3 linked regions of the Notamacropus eugenii genome follow. The protein of the gene in region 3 purifies or fractionates together with the protein of the main gene of each other region. This does not show direct contact. Links are inferred from orthologs where the notes say so. Each region holds a gene or a part of one and is shown on either strand. Other genes may lie near its edges. The genes, in order: SINHCAF, BRMS1L and SIN3A.

Region 1 (3,749 bases), on a different chromosome or scaffold from region 3:
TTTTATTTATTTTTATTTTATTTTTCCAGAAGCTTCACTTTGCCGGGCTTCCACACCTGCCATGAACTTGAGGTCCAGGGTGATGCGGAGGCGGGTCCGAACTTTTACGTGCTGACCCCCCCTTCGCTCGTGTTCCCAGCCGTTTCTTCTTGGCGGAGCAGATTTTTCGTCCTTCTGGTCTTTTTAGTGGGATATTTTAAAAAGCTTTCTCGTACTCACCCTCTTCTCCCCTCCCATGCCTTGCTTTGTTTCGTTTCGTTTCGTTTTCAGGCCAGTTTCTCCTGCTTGCTTTGGTTGAACGGCTTCTCCATTTCTGTGGCAACAGGGTGGCTGGGCTTCCCCCGGGACTTGGAGAGGCTTGGAGAGCCAGGCAGCCTGGAAGCCTGCAGCCAGAGCCTGCAGACGGACTGTGCACCCGTATTGTATTCATTAGAAATAGCACCAGCCTCGGGACTTGGAAAGTGTGTATGTGGAAGTATGTTGAAGTAGGAAGAGGCTAGTAGCAGTTTCCAGGGTGGGATATCAAAACTAATCGTCCCAACCGTTAGCAAAAATCGAATTTCATTTCAATTGGACGGTTACACAATGAGGAAACTAACATGTATCACTCTTCCAGCAACCTTATCTCATTTTGATGAGTAAGGCTGGAAAAGGAGAGAAACATTGTTGCGAGTTTCTAAATGAATCAGCGTAAACAACATAATTGAATCACTTATTGACAAATTTGATTGTTTACCATTTCAGTGTGATCATGTAGCTGAATGAATTAAGGTGTTATTAAAATCATCGTTGTCGTCATGGAAAAATACCTGGAGCATAATATTCCTGCTAAGGTGTATAAAACTTTTTTAAAAAATTAAAAAGAGGAAGGATGCCATTGGTTTGGATAAATGGACTTATGTGCTTAAAAAAAAAGGAAAATAATGGAATATAATTGATTATTGTTCCATAGGATGTATTTGAATATGTCGTCTAGCAGATGGAATTCATAATCTTCAACTGTGACCTTGTTTTTTTAATCTTTTGCTGACTATTTCAATATAATTTTTTTCATTTTTAATTCTATGTATTTTATGAATTTTAAAATATTCTGATAATGAATCCATAGGCTTTATCATACTGTCAAAGGTTTCATGACATAAAAAAGTTAAGAACCTTTGATCTAGCCAAACCTTATTTTACAGATTAAGAATGAGAGGCCTATAGAGGTTAAAAATGGAGTCCAAGATCATTCAGGTACTAAGTAGCAGAGGAAACATTTGAAACTGTGTCTTTTAACCTCACATCTGACTCTAAATCTGTCCTAGTCTGCCTGTCGTCTAAAAATAATAGAAAATCCTCTTAGTTTGAAAATGTAATTTAAAATGATGTTTGAGTGCAGAGAAAGAAGCACTAATTCAAGATAACCTTGGCTCTAGTCCTGACTCCACAGCCTACTGGTTGTGTGACCTTGGGAAAATCACTTAACTTTGCTAAACCTCATAGTTTCTAATTATAAATTGAGGATGATAATGTTATACTCAAAATCATAACTCACAAGCCTGAAAACAATTTATTTTCTTTTCGAGTAATTCAAGGACAGAATTCTAAGCAAAGTCATTTCATAAAATAATATAGTAAGGAAAGTAGCAAAGGAATACTTTTAATAAACCTGAAACACACTTTCCCAGAGATACCTCTAGGGTTCTTGAATTCAAAGCACAAACCTCTTCCATTCCTCCATATAGATTCCCCATCCTCTGGATGTAGATAAAGCCAAGCCCAGAGGACAAATTCATAATTTCCTCTACAGCTCATTCTTAGTTTTTTCATGGACAGATGAAGCCAAAAGAGAGTTGAAAAGGGATTTAAATCATACCCTTAATATTCCTGTTCAGGTATATCAGGTACTAGATGGCCCCTGAAATTCTTTCCAGCTCTAAAATTTTGTGATTCTATGTTTCTTACTTACATACCCTCCATGTGTGTCTCTGGCCACACAGGCTCCCTACATTCCCCTTGTTCTCTGTGTTCACTCTTCCTGCTGTTGGTATGGATATTTCTGGGAAAGTGTGTACCAGGTTTATTGGAAATTTTGTAAGATGAGAACAATAATAATAAAAACTATTTTTTTTTAGTGAGGCGCTTTTAAAAAGTCTTATTGTAACATTCTTCTCCACTGCTTCCTATGAGACATCAGCTCTGCTGATTTTTTGTGAAGATTAAATGATTGCTATTAGTTATGGTATAAATTGTGTTAAATATGTAAATTGATGAATATGAAAATTAAATTATCCTTTGCCATATCATAAAATTTAAAACTGGAAGGAATCTTAGAGGCTAGTCCCCCTAAAACTGAAAGTGAAAATATAAGAAACTTGGGCAAAATGATCACCTGTCTCACTTATCTTCATATGGTTTTATACTGTAAATGTATAATATATATATAACCAATATAGCCCTTTAAAATATGTGTCTAATGTAATTCTATTCAATAGAATAGTACTTTCTCATTCATTTGAACTTACTGACTTCTTTTCAGAAATTTTTAACTCATATCTATGATTTCTTACTATTATTTTTGATTTGGAGGGGCTTTAATATAAAGAACTGAGAGAACTAATTCTTATTTAACAAAAATAAATAATTAATAGGTTTTTGTCAGTATTTATGTTTCTAAGTGAATAATTTACTCTACTGGTAGCTAATATCAATGCATTAAAAACATTTTTTTTAGTCTAGAAATGCTAATTGTTAGATTTTTATTGGCCATTGTAACTGACTCTCAACTAATAGGAACAAGGCAGCCATACCAATACCCCTAAATTATGCTAATTTGCCAGGTTGTTGGGAAGGACTATTTCTTACCTACAGTGAGCTCTCTTGCAATCTGTGCATCACTTAAAACATCTCTGAACTTACTTAGCCAAGGTTCATATCTTGGAAGATTCTCAATAATAATACTCTGTTGTTTATGGCTCCAAACAAGGTTTTCCCTAGGAACATTTGATTTTGATCCAGTTTAGCTTTTCCTTAGGAGTCTTCATAGTTCTCTTGTGAAGAATGAGACTGACACAGCATCTGATCTTAAGGTGGCTTTATTATGAAGTCCTTCTCTTTGCCAGTACCAAGTGCATCTCCTCCAGGAGCTTGTCCACTACATCACAATCAAACTACTCTTCTTGTAGTTCCTTAATAATATTCTATCTCCTTTCTCTGTGCCTTTGCACAGCTTGTCCCAATCACTTGAATGTACTCGACTGCCCCCTAAAATCCCTTCTGTTTTTGTTCTTCAGTCACTCAGTCATTGTCCAACTCTTTGTGATCCCATAAGGAGTTTTCTTGGCAAAGATACTGAAGTGGTTTGCCATTTCCTTCTCCAGTGGGATTAAGCAAACAGAGGTTAAGGGATTTGCTGAGGATCACCCAACTAGTGTCTGAGGCTAGATTTGAACTCAGGTCTTCTGGACTCTAGGCCTAGCATTCTATCTACTTAGACACCCTGCTGTCTCAAAATCTCTCCTAGCTCCCTTCAAAGTTCAAGTCAAATACCACTGCAAATACCAACACAGATACATGAGCTCCAGCTCCAGGTTCCACCCTCAAAATATTTTGTATTTGTTGTTTGTACGTATACTGGGTATCCCAAAAGTCTTAGTACAGTTTGTTCCCTCTTTCTTTCTCTATACACACACACTATATATGTGTATATATATACACATACTTATGTGTACATATGGATATATGTATATTACATATGTATGTTTGCA
Region 2 (3,749 bases), about 88 Mb from region 3:
GTACTTGACCCTGTGCTACTTAAAAGTTTTATAAGTGACTTGGATAAAGACATGTTTATCTAATGTGAAGATGACACAATGCTGAAAATGATAGCTAAATGGATGATCAAGTAAGGATCTAGCTGAATCTATAAGATGAAAAAGACCTGGGTGGTTTAATGGCTTAAGCTCAATATTAATCAGAAGTGTGATATGGAAACTAAAAAAGCTAATGTAATTTTGGGCTTCATAAACAAGAGGCACAGCTTCTAGGAAAAGCGGGGTATAAACCAACAATATTCTGCCTTCATCAGAATTAATCTGAAACACTGTTCAGTTCTAGATGCCACCGTTTTAAAAGGATATTAATAAACTTTTGAGTGTCCAGAGAAGGGCAAACATAGTAAAAGGTCTCAAGTCCCTGACACATAGGAATCTGTTAAAGTAACTGAGAATGTTTAAGCCAAAAGAAAAAAAAATGGGAGGTTAAGGGGGTAGAACCTGATAGGTAAATTTAATTATCTGAAGGGCTCTCATGTGGAAGAAGACTAGATTTGTTCTATTTGGCCACAGAGGACAAAACCAGGAGCAAAGGCTAGAAATTACAAAGAAGTCAATTTAGGTTTAATGTTAGGAATAACTTCCTGACAATTGGAGAGGTCCAAAAATGAACTTGGTTGCTTCAAGAGGTGATGGATCCCCCTCCTTGGAGATCTTCAAGCAGACGCTAGATGAGCATTGGTAGATATGTTATAGTAGGAATTCCTTCACATATGGACTATAACATTGCTTGAAGACTGTTTCAACTTTCAAATGCTATTATTCTGATCCCTTCTTCTCCAGCAAATTACAAACTCAATCATCTCCCTCCTCTCTCTAATCTTCAACTTCTCCCTATATACTGGCTCCTTCAAAATTTGTCCAAGAATCCTCCATGCTTAAAAAAAACCTTCTTTAACCCCCTCAAGATACCCATCCTTCCTTTCTCTGTCAAACGCCTAGAAAAGCTGTCTACTAACCATTGCCTCCACCTCCTCTCCTCTCACTCAAGTCTTCTCTATTGGCTTCATCTCATAACTCAAATGAAATTGTTCTACACAGTTAACAATGATCTCTAAATTGTTGGTTCTAATGGCATTTTTTTTCAGTCATTCTTGGACCTCTTTGCAGCATCTGACATTGCTACTTTAACCTGGATACTGGATACTTTATCCAGGGATTTTGAAACATTATTCTCTCCTGGTTCTTCTCTTACATGTTGACTGCTCCTCCTCATTCTACTACGCTGGCTAATCATGGTTCCTAACTGTGAGTTGATCTCCAATCCTGGACTCTTCTGCTCTTTCTACAAGGTCATTTAGGGACCTCATCAATTTCATTGCTTTATCATCTCTAGGCAGATGATTCAGACATCTATACATCCAGTTGCAGCTCCTCTGAGCTTGAAGTCCTGCGTAACAACAACAACTAATTACTTATTGGACATTTCCAAACAGATTATACCTCAAACTCAACATATTCAAAACAGAGCTCATTATCTTTCCTCCAAACTTCCCTATTTCTTCCAGTCACTGCTGTGGATAGTATCAGAGGTTCTGAATTCTTCACTTTCCTTCAGAGCACATATCCAATTAGTGGCCAAATCATGCTATTTCTACCTCTCCCACATAAGCTAGATTATTTCAATAACCTCCTAACTGGTCTCCCTGCCTCAATCCTCTACTCACTCCATTCACCCTCTATTCTGCTGCAAGTGATCAGGGCTGACCATATCATCCCTTACTAAATACTCTAGAGGAAACTCAAGAAACGTTACTGGTGGGCTGGTTGATTTGGAGGTAGAGGTGAGGGAAAAAAACGGCATTAGGACAGAGGAAAGTGTGCTCTCACTCCGGGGGCGTGGGGGCACCCACCCAAGGGGAGATGGCCGAGCCAGATCGGCTGCAGGCAGGGGCGGGCAGACACAACGAGGCCTGGTGGGGAGGAGCGATCGCCACCGGCTGCCGGGGCAAGGACGTGCCAAGTGACCAGAGGCAGCGGAGAGTGTAAAGGCGTTCCTCCGCGCAGGAAGGGCCACACGCCTCCGCTCCGCTTGCCCACGCCAGCTGTGGGGACCCATGACCCGGCGTAGGCGTACAGGAGTTGCTGCCGGCGCCTCCTCCCCTTCCCAGCCCCGCAGAGGGCGGAGGGACGCCGGGACAGGGGCGCGGGGTCCCTAGCACAGGCCTGGGAAGGAGTCTCCGCCCCTTCCCTTCTCTTTTACCCCCTTTCCGGGGCGAGTGGACCAGACGTGAGGCTGGGGCAGAGAGGCCCGGCCGGGCGGCCGGAGATCTGACCACCTACCTGAGCTGTCCCCATCCTCGGAGACGGACGAGCTCTCGGTGTCCTCGTCCTCCGAGGTGCTTCCCTCGTTCTCGGCGTAGTCCACCTCCATTTCATCGTGATGGTTCGTCTCCTTCTTGTCCCCGCGGGAATGGACAGGCATTTTCTAGTCGCCCCCGGCGTTTATTTCTCTTCCTCGCAGGCTACGGCCCCTTCCGTGCGGCTATGTGCGCAACCCCACTCCAAGCGACACGACTTCTCCCAGAATTGTCTTCTCCCTATCTGGAACTCACAGCCTAACCCGCCGGCTCCCGCGATGGAAGCCCTGCCATTGGAGAACCCCTTCCATGAAGCCTGGGAGGCGGGGCTTGGCCGCACGTTGAAGCTTCGAAGGCCCGTTGCCTTTCGGGAGTTGTAGTCTCTGCGAAGGAAACCCGAGTTGACTGGATTTCACAGCCTCAGCCCTGGTGATTTGGCATAACTGGAATTCAAGTCCCAATAAAGCACCAATCACATACACTCAAATCTCATTTATAGACAGAAGCACATATTTGATACATACGTGAACTATTTCCATTTTCCCATTAAACAGCTGCCATCTGAGTACCCCACCCCCAACTGTATAAGTCTATCAGAAATAGAAAATTATTTCCTCTACCCACCTTGGTTCAGAACCTCATTGTTAGTATCAATAACTTCACCGACTGTTAGAATAAGAAACCTTAGAGACTAATGTAATCCAACCCCTAATTTATGTAAAGACAAGAAAAATGAAGACCTAGAAAAATTAAGTAATTTAACAAAGATCTCACAGCAAGTTAGTGGCAGAGTAAGGGCAATAACCAAACTCACTATCAATGGAGTATAGTGGGAAAAGTACTGGATTTGGAGGCAGGATGTGGGTTTGAGAGTGGCTCTCATCACTTGGTTCTATCCTTGGACAAGTCTTTTAACCTCTGTGTGACTCAGAACATATGACTCAATATCTTTGGCCTCAGTTCCTTCATCTGTAAAAAGAAAGTCTTATTCTAAATGATCCAAGTGATGGCTACCAGTTTTGACCGCCTACTTACAGGAAGGCCGGTGCTCATTCCACTAAATTGCAGTCCTACTGAGATAATAAATTTGTATTTTCTATCTCAATTTATATGATTTGGCTACACAATACATAGAATTATGCAAATAATTGTTTTAAAAACTTCAATTCTGTTCTCTCAGCCACAGAAACAAGAGGGGATAGTGAAGAAGGAGGTAAAGCATAAGAGTAACTGAGAAGAGGATAGTCAGAAGCAACACATTTCTGTTCCTGAAGAGGAATCTAAAAGAGAAAAAGAAAAACAAATACAATTTAAAGGGTGTGGTGCCCATCAAGGCAATATTAACATTAAGTTAATATTAATAATATTGCGCCTTATGAAATGAGGAAAGAGAATATTAGAGAATCCTGG
Region 3 (3,749 bases):
ATTCCGGGTTCCCGAGTTGAGGGGTGGCGCCAGCAATGGGGATCCCTGCTTAAAGAGGAGAGGCGGCAGCTTCTGGACTCCGTCCCCATCCGTGCACACAGAGGAGTAAGAAAAAAAATTAAGACGGCCCCTACTCTCTTAACCACCACCCCACCCACCTCCTTTGCAAATGCTTGCAACCTACAGCAAAGACCACAGTGTCACAAATGCAACCATCCAGTAGTGCTGCACTCAGCTAACTGGTTGCATCTAGACTAGGGGCACGCATCACGGAAGATTTAGTCTCCCCCATGACTTCTGTTTCACCCACCAAACCCCCAATATTGTACTGTTCAGGAAGGACGTAATTAAAAAGGCGAAATATCCTGAACCCTAAACAGACCCCTGTCACCCTAACAACTGTGGGAGAAAGCACTGATCCTCACAAGCTAAGCAAACAACCTGGCCCTCGTGCCAAAAATAAAAATCAAGCGGAGGAATGTCCATTGAAGCTGCCAGTTCGGGGTACAGAGAAAGGGGAAATGAGAAAAACCTCACATTTGGGAGTCTAATGCAGAAGGTCGCTTATAGTCCTCATCCACTTATCTACAACCCACTGCAAATAAAAGTGAAATGGGTTCACAAAGATCTTTTCTCTTCACGACTACCGCTATTTCCAAATACAACAACCTTTTAGTTGCCCAAAATTAGAATCCCATGAGGATGAGGTCGGGTTCAGAGAGCTGCACGTAGCCTATTTATTTCTATCGGGGGTGAGGAGGCGAGGGACACCCAGAGTGGCCTCCTCGGCTACGGGCGTGCCGCAGGTAAGCGAGTTTGTGATGGGCACTAAGCCCGCAACAACCGATTCTCGGTGGGAAACTACAGCGCGCTTTGTTCGCACGATGTGGTTTTCCGTGGCGTGTGGCCTGACACCCAGGAGCTGGGCTCGCTTGCCGCGGTTTCTGGTTCTGCTAGCTCCCTCCCTCCTTCAGCCTGAATGTTCTCAAACGTGGGATGGCAACAGGTGTGCCCGCCTCCCCGGCCCGTTCCCAACTGCTAAGGCACGGAGCGCGTCGGGAGGAACGCAAACTCTCTCCGGGAGCTCCCAACAGGTGACCTGGAGGATCCGGGCCGCCGAGGCGGGAGCTGGCCCGAAGCGAGATCAAGCCCAGACCGAGCGGGGGTTCCAAGCTTTCCTGCCGACGCTCGGAGGCTGGAGGCGGCAGCCTTGGGACTCTCGGGCCAGAGAAAAAAGAGCCCCCGCAGCACTGCCGAGCTCGGGGCCAGGAGGAAGCCCCTCATCTTCCCACACCCACAGGGCGCGGCTCGGATTGACGCTATTCGCTTTGGCCCCGCCGGAGGCTCCGCACTGCAGAGCATCTGCAGGCAAGCCGGCTCAAGCAGGCCTAGCCCTAGCTCAAACCCAGGAGGGTGCACAGCCCTCGACTTCCGGGAGGGCGGCCTGGGGCGGGCCTCCCACGTGTGGGGCAGGGGAGGGGGCGCACCCTACTGTTCCTCACGCTCTCCTCCCCCCGCAGGTAGGCGGGCCACCCCATCAGCCAATCCACTTCGACGCTGAGTCCCTCTAGCCTTAACTCATCCAGCTTCCGGGGCTGGGGGAGGGGGAGAAACCTAGCAACTTGAACCAGAGCCAGGCTTTGCGATAGGAGGAGTTGGCGGAGGGAGAGCAAGAACCAATAGAGAACTAGGAGGGGGGGGGGAAAATGGAGTCGTTCTCAGTCAATAGGAAACAAGAGGGGGCGGGTTCAGTCTTGCAGCCGGAATGGGGAGGGAAGGCGAGGGAGGAGAGAATGAGCGGCCCCGCCCCCTGCGCGCCCCCGGTTGCCCAAGCCAACGCCAGAACAGGTTGTAAACAGGCCGGGTCCCGGAGTGGAGGAAGCGAAGCCTCCCCTCTCCCCGAGCCTGCCGGGCCGGCAGCCCCGCCCACCGCGGGCCGGACGCGGCGGCGCACAGCTGACAGCGCCCCTCCCCCTCCCTCACAGGCTCCGCCCCCCGCGCACTGATGCATTTCCTCTTCCCGAGTCCCAGCGTGTGGAGTCGGGTCTGCCCGCTCGCTCGCTCCCGACCTTCACCGCCCCCTTTCCTGCCTCCGCTGCCCCGCGCCCGTCCCCCGCTGCTCCCCGCTCTCCGGGCCGTCCCCGTGGGACGCTCCCCGAGCTCGAGGGCCGAACGCGGGCCCGGCGGGTTCGGACGTGGAGCAGGATGCCCGCTCGCCGGGGCTGGCCCCGGGACTCGGGTCTTGGGACGTCCGTCTGCGCAGGCTGAGGGGCTGGGAGTCCTGCCCGCGGGCTGTCGGGCCCACGAACGTCCGCGGCCCGGAGCAGTCTGGGGCTCTCCGAGCGCCCACTGCAGCCCCCTCCCCCCAGCCCGCGGTCAAGTTCACGGGCAGCCGGAGGGGCGGTGATCCTCTAAGAGAACCACGCCCGGCCCTAGCCGGCTCCCTTCAAACCCAGGACGGCGGACGCCCCCAGACCTCCTCCGGCGGGCGGACGGAGACCCCTGAGGGGGCCAGCGACCCCCCACCCCCGCCTCGCCAGTCCAGGCGGGGAGGCCCGGCCCTCCCGCCCCCCAGCGCCGAGCCTCCTCTCGCCCTGCGCCCCTTAGACCTAGACACCACACCCCCGAAATGCCCGATATTGGGGGGGGTACTGAATGGAAAGCAGCTGTTCACATACCCTCAAAGCCCAGGCGAGGAGTCCTGAATGGGTGGGAACGCCCCCCAAACAGGATTGGCCACACGCAGGGTTGACGTCACCAGAGCCCGCCTCCCTCCCCTTTTCCCCTCCCCTTCCCGCGCTGCACCACTCCCCCGCTTCCAAAATTCAGATTCGCTCTCGGGGGCCGTCGCCGGCCCGCCCGCCTTCGCGCTCCGCCTGTGCTTCACGCGGGCCCGGGCGCTCCTAGAGGAGGGGGCGCGAGGAGCGGTGTGGGGGCAGCCCCGCCCCGGTGCGATCTGGGCAGGGGACTGCCGAGCCAAGCAGTTCCGTGGTCCCGGGGTCCGCGAGCCAATCAGGACTTTGCCCATCCTCATTCCGGGCTGTCCGGAAAGCTCAGACTGGTCAGACCCACGCTGTGCCTTGTGTGCCCCAGTTACCAGAGATCTGGGGGCTCACCTTCCTAGGCTGTGAAGTGATGGGCCAGCGTGAGACCACCTTCAAAGGCTCCTCCAGCTCTAGATCTGTGATCCTCGTTTGGTCCTTCCTGTTAATAGCAGGGGCTCTGTCTGCTTTCAACTTTAGACCTTCTAGTGTGGCCCAGTGCATGCAGTTGGTATTTAATGGTTGTTGAAGCTACCAAGAGTGGCATCCATTGCGTTTACTGGAGACATACAAAGATGGCTCCTTGATTCCTAATAGTTCACAGACTAATATGAGAGTTACTTGTGAATAGAGCTATACCTCAGTTTCTGTATCTATAAACTGATGGTCGTGCACTAGGTAATGTTCAGGGTCCTTTCCAACTCTAAATCTGTAATCTTTTCTTTTATCCCTATTAGACTGTAAGATACTTGAGCACAAAGCCCCCCTGCCCACTTTCGTCTTTATTCCCGTACTGCCTAGTGCAGAACAGCACCCTTCATCTCAGCCACCAGTACAAAGCAAGGAAGACATCCTCTTTTATCCTCTTTTTCCTCCTTTCCATCCCTCTCCCAAGGCAAAGTAGGGTCTTGACCACCCTTCACATGAAGAGCTCTGCCTAACCTTTAAACCAAATGGAAGCAGAAAGAATCAAGCCTGCCTCAGGCA

What was found.
Region 1: the proteins of SIN3A (region 3) and SINHCAF purify together in Homo sapiens (affinity purification with mass spectrometry; 4 studies listed by BioGRID and IntAct, counting the BioPlex papers as one, with this or other methods). This does not show direct contact. The link is inferred for Notamacropus eugenii from reciprocal best matches to the Homo sapiens genes SIN3A and SINHCAF.
Region 2: the proteins of SIN3A (region 3) and BRMS1L purify together in Homo sapiens (affinity purification with mass spectrometry; 3 studies listed by BioGRID, with this or other methods). This does not show direct contact. The link is inferred for Notamacropus eugenii from reciprocal best matches to the Homo sapiens genes SIN3A and BRMS1L.

What each region holds. Positions count from the first base shown.
Region 1 is NC_092874.1:215,688,791-215,692,539, reverse strand, and holds the start of SINHCAF (SIN3-HDAC complex-associated factor), read right to left. Parts: upstream 2,641-3,749; 5' UTR 1-2,640. UniProt on the Homo sapiens protein: Subunit of the Sin3 deacetylase complex (Sin3/HDAC), this subunit is important for the repression of genes encoding components of the TGF-beta signaling pathway.
Region 2 is NC_092872.1:328,083,034-328,086,782, reverse strand, and holds the start of BRMS1L (breast cancer metastasis-suppressor 1-like protein), read right to left. Parts: upstream 2,743-3,749; 5' UTR 2,465-2,742; coding exon 2,323-2,464; intron 1-2,322. UniProt on the Homo sapiens protein: Involved in the histone deacetylase (HDAC1)-dependent transcriptional repression activity. When overexpressed in lung cancer cell line that lacks p53/TP53 expression, inhibits cell growth.
Region 3 is NC_092872.1:240,370,713-240,374,461, reverse strand, and holds the start of SIN3A (paired amphipathic helix protein Sin3a), read right to left. Parts: upstream 2,729-3,749; 5' UTR 2,679-2,728; intron 1-2,678. UniProt on the Homo sapiens protein: Acts as a transcriptional repressor. Corepressor for REST. Interacts with MXI1 to repress MYC responsive genes and antagonize MYC oncogenic activities. Also interacts with MXD1-MAX heterodimers to repress transcription by tethering SIN3A to DNA.